Saccharomyces cerevisiae S288C: one gene and its partner. Changing the gene in region 2 together with the main gene of any one other region gives a genetic interaction. Each region holds a gene or a part of one and is shown on either strand. Other genes may lie near its edges.

Region 1 (4,563 bases), on a different chromosome or scaffold from region 2:
CGGCAGTTTCAGAAAGAAATCGGAGGCGTCCTAACTTGCTAGATGAGTCGGACGCGGACCCAATCATTTTAAGCACGATGGATATGCTTCTTCTAGATGATCGAAAGAGTAATTGAATTTTTTCAAGTCATCATCGAAACCAGCAAAAGATTACGATATTATCCTTCTATTTACCGCAAAGTGTGTTGTTGTTATTATATGCATATTTGAGTATCGTGATCCCTTTTTTTAATCTATTTTATGCATGTAGGACATCTCGGCCGAGCGCAATAGAGGAACGGCCGAGATACTTATTTATACGCACCGCACCTATTACATTCCGCCTGCCTAACCATGCTCATTTTTTCAAATTGACGAGCAGGTTAAAAGAAACACTGCGAAATGTGAGGAATCTTTCCGTCTTGTCGAGTCTTAAAACAGTGGAAAAAACGTGGAGGATAACAGTGTTTCTTGTTTTTGGCTTGTTTTTTTTTTTTTAGCCTTTCCAAATATCCGTATTCTCACAAAGAAGGCATATCGCTCAGATTTTCACCTAATAAATCCCAGAAGGCATCAAAATTGTTGTTTTCCAATAGTTGATTTAAAGCCTCTTCTTCGCTGATATTGAAAAATTCTTCAGCCGTGTTTTGGGACATAGCGGTATTGGCTTTTATTGCGAAGGAACTGGAGAGAACTGCATCCTCCATCTGGCACAACAGAACTTGATTGAAACTCTGCAAACTCTGGCTGCTTATTAACTTTTGTTTGATTCTTCTCGAATTATTGCAGTCCAATCCCCATTTCAATCTCACGGCTTGTTGTACTTTTGGCGGTATTTCACCATCACTGGAAATCTTATCCCAAAACCCATTTGTCACAGATACTAAGCCGCCAACATCGATCAAATACACAACGTATCTAAACATGGGAACAGTTTGGTAAGCACCAAAGTAACTATCTTGAAGTTTTCCCTTTGCTAGATCCACTAAATGTGCCATTTGGTTACGAATGTGTTTAATAAGTCTTTCTAAAATGACAATCATTTCATCTTCTTTTTCATTATCGTTAGTGGATATACTGGAAGAGGCCAATTTTTTCTGACTTTCTTGCTTGTATGAAAACCTTAACAAAATACGACATTGGAACATCCAGATCCTTACAAGCATAAAACATATTTGTTTATCTATGATATAACCGCGACTCTCTAAAATGTTCCCTTGAAACTTATTCTCGAGATAATCAGATATCAACCCTGCTAGCTTTAAGTATGCATTGAAACTTTTCAAAGTAAGGAAATGATAGTTCTTTTCATATTCTTCCCAGTGCATAACACATTTTTTTTCAAAATGTAACGATAGGACATCAAAAATGTTTAAAAAACACATACTTCCCACAATATTTGTAAGAAATATTTCAGTTTTTTGAATATCCATGACATCGAGAACCGTACTTTTGCCAACTTTGATCGCATTTGGTTCCTTTTCATGAAGGGGTTGGTAAATCGAACTTGTAGGAAAGTTCTCAGCCATAAAATCTTCAGATCTTTTAATATTTCCTAAAATGTGGAAAAGCTGCGGATGTTGTATAACTGAAGTGCAATCAGACATTAGTTTACTCAAAATGACGTGAAATTTGTACTTATTCCAAACAATATCATTCATTTGCACGTTCGATTCACTCGCAGAACTTTTTTCATACTCTGAGGAAGCTTCAATATATTCTTCGAAGTCTGTTAAATATGCCTCCATATATTCACTATTTGATTTACCAGCATCACCTTCAGCAAGAGAAATTTGAAAAAGTAATGACTGAACTCCTAACCATAATATCCGTCTCTGCCTTATCACTTCTGGATCTTTGAAACGTTTGTACTTCGAAGGCTCATATTGAAGACCTAAGGTCATGGACAAATTTAAAAGATGGTGCAGAGTAAGCAAGTTAGTGGGGCTCAGTACACAATCGGGACTCTCGGGATCTAAATGCTCTGAAACGTAGAAATATAAAAGGCAAGTAAAAGTGTTCTCATTTGGATAGCGAAATACATCCAGGAGGCATAATAGTTTATGACATAAAAGAGAAAGTTTCCTGGCACTTTCGGAGGCATTTTCTTTTACCATTGAAAGAAGATTTGCATCCAATTTTGAATGCATCAAGGCCATGGCCATTACTATTGTAAGTAATGACAAAGTTTCTATTTTTTTGCGCACATTTTTAACTTCAGTACTAATTTTCCAACGATTATTGTCGTCTTGTAAAAGCAAACTAGTGAGATCGCTCTCAAAGAGTGAAATGTCCATAAAAGGATAGAAGGGATAAATATTTTGATAGAAACACCTCAAAAGTATTTCACAGTCTTTTTTTTGCATCAACACGTCTTCCACTTCAGCGATGAGTGACGGTAGAAGAGTCGAGAAGTTTTCTTCTTCCATTGAAAATGCATTGTATAATAACCCTAAGGCGGCAGACTGAACTCGAAATTGCTTACTATGTTCTATCCGTCTAAAAATGGCCTTTTCTATGAATGACAATGGTCCTAGTATACTTCTTGATGTGTCTTCACAAGGAATACCATTAGCATAATTGCTAAAGTCAACAAGCGCCATGCCGTACAACGAAGCACAAAGTGCCCTGATATACTGGTCATGTTGCGCCAGACTATGCGCAGCAAAAGGATAATCCAGAAATGTAACTAATCCTACTATAACTAGCATATCTTCGGCGTTCCATATCGACAGCGTAGCATTAACGACACCTTCAGGCACTTGTAAGGAATATCTAAGCCCAGTCCTTTCAAGTACAGGTTGCTGTTCGAAATTGAGCTTATGAGAGGAATTGAATCCATCAGAGTCGTTTGCTGCAACATTGGCAGATAAATCTGTTCTCTCTTCATATTCACACTGTAATGAATTTTGTTGGCATCGCGAGCAAGCAGGCCGCAGTTTATCACATTTCCGTTTGATCTTTTTGCATTGCAGGCAAACCAATCTTAACCGAGGTTTTTTTACTGTAATCGAATCCATCAGAGCATTTCAGCAGCCAATTTCATGTTCATTTGTTTATCTACCGCTTACATTAATAAAGTATTAATGAGTAACATTATTAGTAATGATGTCAAAATTTCGTTCTCAATGACTTGTAATAATGAGTGTAATAGTGATCTGCACGGGTCTTGAGTAGAAAATCTACCGAATGCAAAAATGTGAAGAATACACGCTACTATGTAAATCTTTATTTTTCAACTCATTTCAAACCATTGAACCATCCTCTTAGATAGCACAGTATATTAATATAGGCATTCTTTGTAAAAATTTGCGCTCTTCTCTTTTAAAATTGAAGTGCTTTAAGAGGACCTCATCAGACATGCTCGGACTCTAGATTTCGAAGTAAAAGCATGATTAACACTCTACCTTTCGGACGAAAATTGCATTAATGTACCTACTTAATGGGTATTCAGTTTTCAGATTTAATAGTTTGGCTTCGATACATATGAGTAGGCTAAGTATTAAGTTAAATCGCAGAACAAATGTAGACGTACTCGACATGAATGGGTAAAACCCTGCACACATTTCGTATTGAATAAAACTTACTGCTCTGCACTGTTGTCGAGAGATTCTAAATTTTCATCAAAATTTCCCTTAAGTTTAAGAAATATCCTATTCAAGAAATGAATGTCCCTATATATAGGTCATGTGACTACCGAAGAATTGGTTTAAGGTATACATACAATGCAAACCACTTTTCTCTTGTTATGTAATGGGTCATGATAAATTCCGAGATTTGACATGCATTTTAAGAGATTCTGAAAAATATTACGTATATAGACTATTTATGGAATTTCTTATCATAATCGACCAAAGTAAATCTGTATTTGACGTCTCCGCTTTCCATCCTTGTAAAGGCATGGCTGACGCCTTCTTCGCTGATCGGAAGTTTTTCCACCCATATTTTGACATTCTTTTCGGAAACTAATTTCAATAGTTGTTCGATTTCCTTCCTAGATCCGATAGCACTGCTTGAGATTGATACTCCCATTAGGCCCAACGGTTTTAAAACAAGCTTTTCATTAACTTCAGGAGCAGCAATTGAAACGATGGAGCCTCCAATCTTCATAATCTTAACGATACTGTCAAAATTAACTTTCGACAAAGATGATGAGCAAACGACAAGAAGGTCCAAAGCGTTAGAGTATTGTTCTGTCCAGCCTTTATCCTCCAACATAGCAATATAGTGATCAGCACCGAGTTTCATAGAATCCTCCCGCTTGGAGTGGCCTCGCGAAAACGCATAAACCTCGGCTCCCATAGCTTTAGCCAACAGAATCCCCATATGCCCAATACCACCGATGCCAACAATACCTACCCTCTTACCTGGACCACAGCCATTTCTTAGTAGTGGAGAGAAAACTGTAATACCACCACACAATAATGGAGCGGCTAGCGGACTTGGAATATTTTCTGGTATTTGAATAGCAAAGTGTTCATGAAGCCTCACGTGGGAGGCAAAGCCTCCTTGTGAAATGTAGCCGTCCTTGTAAGGAGTCCACATAGTCAAAACGTGGTCATTGGTACAGTATTGCTCGTTGTC
Region 2 (8,628 bases):
CGAATACCCGACTCTTGGTGAGGGCTGGTTCTTGAAATTCTTTAATTTTTCCCACTGCCACTTCTTTGGATCAGGCGTTAAGTTCAGTTTCCATGCATCATTCAAGATTTTTCCCTTCATTAAATTTTTATTATTTTTGGCAATGATTTTACAGTAACCACCCATTAATATGGCAGAATTATCTGTAGGAATGAAACAATGACCCGATCTAGCGTCAGGTTTGCTGTTTGTCTCCAATTTGGTCCATTTGTAGGTTGAGATATCAAAACACCACAAATCATTTAGGTAAGAAGTTTGACCATTCCCCAAATCTCTAAATCCACCAAATAATATGAAATAGTTTTTCCAAGCAATAATTCTATGACCTGATCTGGCGCTGGGTGAAGAGTCTCTACCGCCAAACTCCAACTTAGTGAATTTCCTTTCAACGCAGTCAAACAGCCATGTATCAGAATAGTGGTAGAATTTAGATTGTTTTGGGGACGAAAATTCACCACCGTGTAACAGTGCTATTCCGGAAGGATGCACAGCGACAGCGGCACTGGATCTGGGCAAAGGTGCATTTTGCGAAACGTATTTTTTCCAAGAGTTGTTCTTTATGGAGTATGAATACAAATCATTATAGAAATGTGTTAGTTTGGTTTCTGGATCTGTAAATTCACCACCGAAAATGAACAATTCATGTTTATTGTGTTGCGGATTTGCAAACATCAACGGATGAGTACGACAAGAGGGTTTTTCCACAGAAGTGATGTCTACATGCTCTAATTCAATTTGCTTTTTGCTAAAGCTAGAGAGAATTTCATCGAGATCTTGATCACTTTCATCATCTTCTTCGCCGTTTAAAGACTTATTCTTGTTCTTCTGAAACTTTTTCTCCTGCTTTTTTTGGTTTTTCTGATTCTTCAGTTCAGCACGTGCCTTTTTGGCCTCTTTATCCTTCTTATTCTTCTTTGCCATTAATCACTTCTACGAGTCTAGTAGATCTCTTCTCCTTCCTATAAGTGGTTAATGTATTCTTCGAGAAGCTCATCATTTTTTTTTTTCATTTTTTTTTTTTTTTTCAGTTTTCTACAATTTCATCAAATCAATGGTTAAACCGGGCAGAAAAACTACCAAGCGTTACTTTTACTGATGTTAGTACTACTACCGCAGTTATTGCGACTACTACATTAACTATAACTATACAAGAAAAAAAGTAAAGAGGGCTCGTAAAGCAAAGCTTGGTATCTCCTACATAGTCAATACATAGTAGTGAGTCGCCTATAGCCATTCTGTAATGCCATTTGTTAAGACGTGTCCTTAAACCCTTCCGAATCGCCGCGGGCGACATCATAATGTCAGTACCTAATAATGGTTATTATTCGTACCCTGTGGTTAGAGAGCTATGGAAGCTAGCAGTAAATGTCTCTAGTTCTTGCTATCACTACCATATTGGAGAGGCTTCAGGCCCCTCCCCTGAGCCGATCCTCGGAATGACTACCCCGATTCCCGGAATGGGCGTTCGATGATTGGCTCTTTCCTGTAAAGCCTTTTTGCGTTTCTTATAGGCTATATATAATCTTCATCACTGTTGTAGACGTTAAACAAGCATCCAACAGGAGGCCGGACCGAACACACGGGGGAGTGACTCTAGCTCTTTCTTCTGGGATATTCATATCGTTTCTCCATTACATACAGTCATTTTTTTGCATTTTTAAATTCGTGACTTTTAGTACTGCAGCTGTTTTTTTTCTCACGTCAAGAAATTCCATAAAGTCTAACTATTAAACGGATAAGAGATACAATCATGTTGAGATTTACCAATTGTAGTTGCAAGACTTTCGTAAAATCGTCATATAAGCTTAATATAAGAAGAATGAACTCCTCGTTCAGAACTGAAACCGATGCATTTGGTGAGATACACGTGCCTGCTGATAAGTACTGGGGTGCCCAAACTCAAAGATCCTTTCAAAACTTCAAGATTGGTGGCGCTCGTGAAAGAATGCCATTGCCTTTGGTGCATGCATTTGGTGTTTTGAAGAAATCTGCCGCGATTGTGAATGAGTCTCTGGGGGGATTGGATCCCAAGATCTCCAAGGCTATTCAACAGGCCGCTGACGAAGTGGCTTCTGGTAAGCTAGACGACCACTTTCCATTGGTTGTTTTCCAAACGGGTTCCGGTACCCAGTCTAACATGAATGCTAATGAAGTTATTTCCAATCGTGCCATTGAGATCCTAGGAGGCAAGATTGGATCTAAACAAGTCCATCCAAACAATCATTGCAACCAATCTCAATCATCCAATGATACTTTCCCCACTGTCATGCATATCGCTGCCAGTTTGCAAATTCAAAACGAGTTGATACCTGAGTTGACCAATTTAAAGAACGCCCTTGAAGCCAAATCCAAGGAATTTGACCATATTGTGAAGATCGGTAGAACACACTTGCAAGATGCCACGCCTTTGACACTAGGTCAAGAGTTTTCCGGTTACGTGCAACAAGTTGAGAACGGTATCCAAAGAGTGGCACATTCTTTGAAAACATTGAGTTTCCTGGCACAAGGTGGTACTGCCGTTGGTACAGGGTTGAACACCAAGCCCGGATTCGATGTCAAGATAGCCGAGCAAATTTCCAAAGAAACTGGACTAAAGTTTCAAACCGCCCCTAATAAGTTCGAGGCTTTGGCTGCTCACGACGCCATTGTCGAATGTAGCGGTGCTCTAAACACCCTTGCTTGTTCTCTTTTCAAAATAGCGCAAGATATAAGATACTTAGGGTCCGGGCCACGTTGCGGCTACCATGAACTAATGCTGCCAGAGAATGAACCAGGTTCCTCAATCATGCCTGGTAAAGTTAACCCAACCCAAAACGAGGCATTGACTCAAGTGTGTGTGCAAGTCATGGGTAACAATGCAGCTATCACGTTTGCCGGCTCTCAAGGTCAATTCGAGTTAAATGTCTTCAAGCCAGTCATGATCGCCAATCTATTGAATTCGATCAGGTTAATTACTGATGCCGCATATTCATTTAGAGTGCACTGTGTTGAAGGTATCAAAGCCAATGAGCCTCGTATTCATGAGTTGTTGACTAAATCTTTAATGTTAGTCACCGCTTTGAACCCTAAGATCGGTTATGATGCCGCTTCCAAGGTCGCCAAGAATGCTCATAAGAAGGGCATTACCTTGAAGGAAAGTGCATTGGAATTGGGTGTATTGACTGAAAAGGAATTTGATGAATGGGTTGTTCCTGAACACATGCTAGGTCCTAAATAAACGAGCTAAATACCTAATAATATACAAGTTTTTTATGTCTTATTATATGAAGGAAAATAAGGAAGTGGAGAGAATTTGTGATTCAGCAATGGTCCCTCCGCTAAGGTCCCGCCTCTGGCCAGTTATGTCAGAAGAGGAGCATAGGCATACATTCCATTTTTGATGGCTTAATGGGGCCCATAAATTTACATCACTACATTATTATTCCTATACAAGTTATAATAAAATAGTTCATAAATGAATATTTTGCGTCATTTTTTAATTTCTTGTCGTCGGGTAAGGGACCTAGTATTACCCGCATCACGGAAAGGGGAATTTTCAGAAATGATAACGAATAAGAGAGTACACCAGAAGAGCAAATCTCTTTAAGAAGTTTAGCAGCAAATATCGGTTTAAAAACAAACAAAAGCAAAGGAAAAGAACTACTAAATCTTCGAGGACTTTCCCAATTTTTAAAACGCTGAAATTGTATTAGAAGAGAATAACTGTCTAAAAAGAGCATGTTTGCATCCGCTGGACAACAACACCCTCAAATTGTTCCTAAGGAAGAGGAATCCATATTAAACTACCTCCTTGAAGTGAGATCCTCCTTGGCTAAACTCAAGCAAAATAGGACCCAGTATTTGAACTCTAAGGATGTCCAAACTACTTACCAACACGTCTTGACCAAAGTCAGAGAGTTGGACGATATTAGGAAGAATAGTCATGAGACGCCCGCTAAGAGCGCCGCCACCCTGATTCATAGTACTGAATTGCATAATAGAGTTGACTCCGTACTGGATGATGTCTTTCAATTGCTCTCGTTGTGTTTTTTAACTGTTGGGCTAAAAAATTCTGCACCTGCGACTTATGCATCGTTATCTACTGTGGAGAGTCTTTTGGAACATTTAAATGAATCAAACGTCTTCACCCATCACGATTTGAGTCCTATTAAGGAAAGGCTGGAAGAAATCAGCAAGATTGTCGAACAAAAAAACTCTAGTCCTGCGTACGATGAGGATGGAAATGATGACCGATTAAGGGAAATCGACAACGAAAGGAAAAAGAATAAAATTGAGGAAGACCTATTACTACGTGCTAAATTAAAGCATTGCAAGGACGAATATGATATATTGGAAGGCAAATTGGAGGAAATTGATCCGTCTTTGTCTACTGTAATGGAAAAGTTATTCCGAATTAGAAGAGGTTTATTGTCATTAGTTGCATCTGCTAAAAAAACAATGTCTAAATCTGATATTAATACCAACTCTTTATTGCAGGAACAAAATGATTTGCAAACGAACAATGAAAGCTTAACGGATGACAAACATTTAGTATCTCAAGAGTATGTCCATGAGAAATTATCAGTTTTGAAGAACGAATTAAGTGAATTAGAATCTAATCGTGACGATTCTGGTAAATTCAAGTCCTTGGAGTCTCATCAGGTGGCAGAAAAAGGCCAAAGTGTCCTTAATGGTTTATTGGATGATTGCCATGATTTAGTTAACGATTTATCACACCAAAAAAATGGCGGGTTGACTTTAGATCCATATTTACAGCCAATATATGAACAGCTGATTGATATAAAGACTACCTTAGAAAATTTAATGATCACAAGAAGATGGACTTTGAGAGAAACCGATTTATTTTCTTACCAAAAAAAATTGAACGAAATTGATAACAAAAGAATCAATGGTAAGTTTCCAACAAAATCTCAGGACTCAAAGGGGCAATCAATACTTTTATACCTGTTGCGTAGATGTTATGCCATAATTTATAAACTGTTGGAAAGTTCAGAGCCCGTATCTGAAGCGTTGCAGCCAATTCACAATCAACTATCTACAGTTCGTCGTTGCCTATTAGAATTGAAAAGAATGGGAGGTGTGAATAATGAAAGAGAGTTATACCCTTATCAAATGAAATTGGCTTCATTGGACAACCTGAGAACTGAAGGTATATTCTATGACTCTGATGGCAATATACCTGAAGGCCAAGGTATATTGAATGCTTTATTAGCAGAATGTTTTGATATCTTGCATGAATTAAAAGTGGAAGCCGAGGAAAAAGCACAGAACTCTACTTCAAGTGATGGTTCTGACGACGATGACAACGGAGAATCAGGCATAGACTCGAACTCAAACGACAGCGAGCCTGAATCTGAATATCAACAGGAATAGAGGAGAGTGTTTCTTTATCTTCCATTTCTCCCTATTTTCTTGGTAGAGGAAAACATTATAAACAATAAAATGAAATACAGAAAGAAAAAAAGTTATTCTCTTATGTCTATGTATATAACAAACCCTGAATGAGCATCTATATAAAAACAAAAATATATAAACAACTTTATGTCATTATCATAATTGTCAATGGGAGGGGGGAGAAAAAGAGGAATAAGGACATACGTACCCTGTGTCTTTGTCCATGCACCGTAGAAATTGCTTTTTTTATATATTTTTCAGACATTACGTCAGCCTTATTGTATAATCATCACCACTTTGCGTGATATATCTTACCCATGGGTAACTCTTATACTGCAATTTGGGTTCGTTAATTTTAAGATAACGTACTTGAATACCTGAAGTAGTAAAGTAGGGTATTTGAAATTTGATTTGGACAGGTCCCTTCAAGATTTCCGCGTTACTTTTTGGCATTGTTCTATTGCCATCCTCGTTATTTGATATTGAAGGCAGTCCCAATTCGGCAGACATTGAGTACTCTTTACCACCGGGAAAACTTCTTATTTTCCATAAGATTGCACTTTTTTCAGGGACATACTTTAGAGACCCGTGTGAATATTTAAAAGTCGGTGTATCCGCGTCGTCCGGGACCGGTATCAATATCTCTACATTAGTTGCAGTAGATTTTCTTTTAATTTGGGCCTTGGCCTTACAGTGAATTTCAATTCTAGAATTCGAATGAACTTGAACGTTTACATCACACCAAATTAACGGTTTTATCGTAGTAGATAGTCTGTAGTTCATTAAATCGAACTTTCCATCAGGAGGTATAAACGTTATAATTTTTTCATTCTCGAATTTGCTTAATCGGACACATTGATGAAATTTCAAATCTTCCAATTCAATATTAACTTTCTTCTTGTTTGTGGCCGATGATGATGTTATTGATGGTTTTTTATCAGTTTCTGTGTTATTATCGGATGTTGTCGCGCTCGCTGATGGGATATTTGTATCATCATCCAAATATTTGGAGAAAATGCCTTTATCATTAATACCTAATTTCAGATCAGGCATACCAGACAATTTTGAGTTAACCTTAACATCGCCGATAATTTCTGATCTCAAAACTTGACCTTTTTGAGTCATGAGCATATTAATAGATTCGACGATATCCAGAAAGGCTTCATTTTTCTTGTGAGTGATGCCTTCTGGCCTCCAACTGACTGAATTTGTTAGTGCGACGGGTGGTCTAGTAGCATTCCTCTTCTTCTTGGCGGATTTAACTAGTTTGAAGGATTTTTGTGTTATGTACTGTTTCAGCATCTTAGTTTCTGTGATCTGTGGTATACCATAATCCATCACTTCGTCCAGTAATTCATATATTATAACAAAATTATCTCTAATAGATTCTTCTTCAACGGTTTTTAAGTAGTCACTTAATACCTCCACTAATTTGTGCAAAAAAGTAAAAATGGCAGCCGCATTGGCACTAAGAGAAGTCACAATTGCCACCACGTATAGATCGTTATGCTGTATAAATAGATATTCCAGACCATTGTGGTTCAAACATGGAGGAATCAGATTTGATTGTTCCTCTAAATCCGAGAGTAATATAGGGAATTTGTCAATTGCAGAAAGCGGAATATCATCTCTATACCTTCTTGATAGGAGTGGTTTCCCATTATGATCGCAAAAATACACTGCAGAAGCCATTCTGTGTCCCTCCAAGTTCGTAATTTACAATTTTCAAAAATACTCCTATATTTAATTGTACGACTTAGTTTCTCTATATGCTTTTTTTTGTTCAGCCCACTTTCCGTTTAACTCTTAATTTTTCATCGTCTAGCAATATTTCAATACGTTCAATTAACATCGCTATCAACGACTTTCAAAGACTATTATCATAATTAGAGATACCCTTTCTCGCTTAGTTGAAGTTACGTCTAATGATGGCTATAGTATATCGAGCGTATTTTATACCATTGAAATATCTTCATCTTTATTACATAACTATTATAGATCCATAGCAGTCCTATTGATAGTATGCAGTAATTTTAGCGCATAGAAAACGTTTATATTGGGTCGAATGCTCAATTATTTTCAGATGGAGGAATACCTTGAAGAAAATATATATATATAAAGACGCACTATTCAAATAATCATCAGTGCCAACATTAACTGTTTCCCTAAGATGCGTTCAGTTGTGATTCTTTTTTTTTTATGTCGCAACTGTCTGTCGTAGTTCTGTCAGCTAATGTTACGAGAATGTCCAACTGCAGTGTTAGGTTTCTGAAAGATGAGAAAGTTTCTGCCGGATAAGTTATCAACGAAATTATGGTGAATACTTGAGGTATGTGACTAGGATGGTAGCGCCGCTAGAACGCCAAAATCAGAACGAAGATTTTGGTTTCTGCCGAACAATTTTTACTATATTAATAAAAATGAAGGAACATTCTTAAATTATTGACACCTATTTTTGCATAATTCATTATTTCTACGTATAACTTTTTGTATATTTTGTAAAAATCGATGTGTCTATTCATTCATATTCTAGAGCGGCGGTCCAGAAGTTAGCTTCCAATTCACAAACTTCAGCATATATTGTGACCAGTGTATCAAGTTTTTCTGGAGGGTATGTTTCCAAGATGTGATTCAACAGCTTTTCGCCTTCAAGCATAGCTTCGTGGCACCATGACGATGAGTAAGTTTCACACCATTCACGGTAAACGGAGCCTTCTGCTGCAGTTACTTCATCCTTGATCTTGGTCAAAGCGTGAACATAGCCCATTAAGCAAGGATTAAGAGCTATAACTAACTCCTGCCAGTTACCTCTTCTGGAAACATCATTAAAGTAACGACAGTAAGCCCTTAATGCAGGACCTCTTTGAATCTTTTGTAAGTAGTCGGGATCCTTAATTCCAAATTCCTCCCTTAATCTCCTTTCATGTTGGCAAAGCCCATTACGAACGCATTCGACAATAACTAGCTCTTTCTCCAGGTCTTCAAGACACGGGGATTTACTACCCGCGATGCAGGAAATCCTGGCATAATTGACTAAGTACAGGTAATCTTGTTCGATAAAAAATTGGAACTTCTTAGGCTCTAAGGAACCGTCTGCTACTTTTCTAACAAAATCATGGTTCACATAGGAGTCCCAGTGGGGCTTAACTTTAGGGTGATTTATCAGATATTTATAGAAACTTCCTCCAGGGATTT

The links.
Region 1: mutations in APM1 (region 2) and RDS1 together harm fitness more than expected from each alone (negative genetic interaction), as found in Saccharomyces cerevisiae (one large-scale study listed by BioGRID).

The regions. Positions count from the first base shown.
Region 1 is NC_001135.5:309,394-313,956, reverse strand, and holds RDS1 (Rds1p), read right to left. Parts: upstream 3,000-4,563; coding exon 501-2,999; downstream 1-500. Other genes in the region: AAD3 (putative aryl-alcohol dehydrogenase), read right to left, coding at 1-67; ADH7 (NADP-dependent alcohol dehydrogenase), read right to left, coding at 3,802-4,563. UniProt on the Saccharomyces cerevisiae protein: Zinc cluster transcription factor involved in resistance to cycloheximide.
Region 2 is NC_001148.4:45,547-54,174, forward strand, and holds APM1 (Apm1p), read right to left. Parts: upstream 7,126-8,628; coding exon 5,698-7,125; downstream 1-5,697. Other genes in the region: KEL3 (Kel3p), read right to left, coding at 1-960; fumarase FUM1, read left to right, coding at 1,790-3,256; YPL261C (uncharacterized protein), read right to left, coding at 3,450-3,758; CUB1 (Cub1p), read left to right, coding at 3,757-5,412; THI21 (bifunctional hydroxymethylpyrimidine kinase/phosphomethylpyrimidine kinase), read right to left, coding at 7,952-8,628. UniProt on the Saccharomyces cerevisiae protein: Component of the adaptor complexes which link clathrin to receptors in coated vesicles. Clathrin-associated protein complexes are believed to interact with the cytoplasmic tails of membrane proteins, leading to their selection and concentration.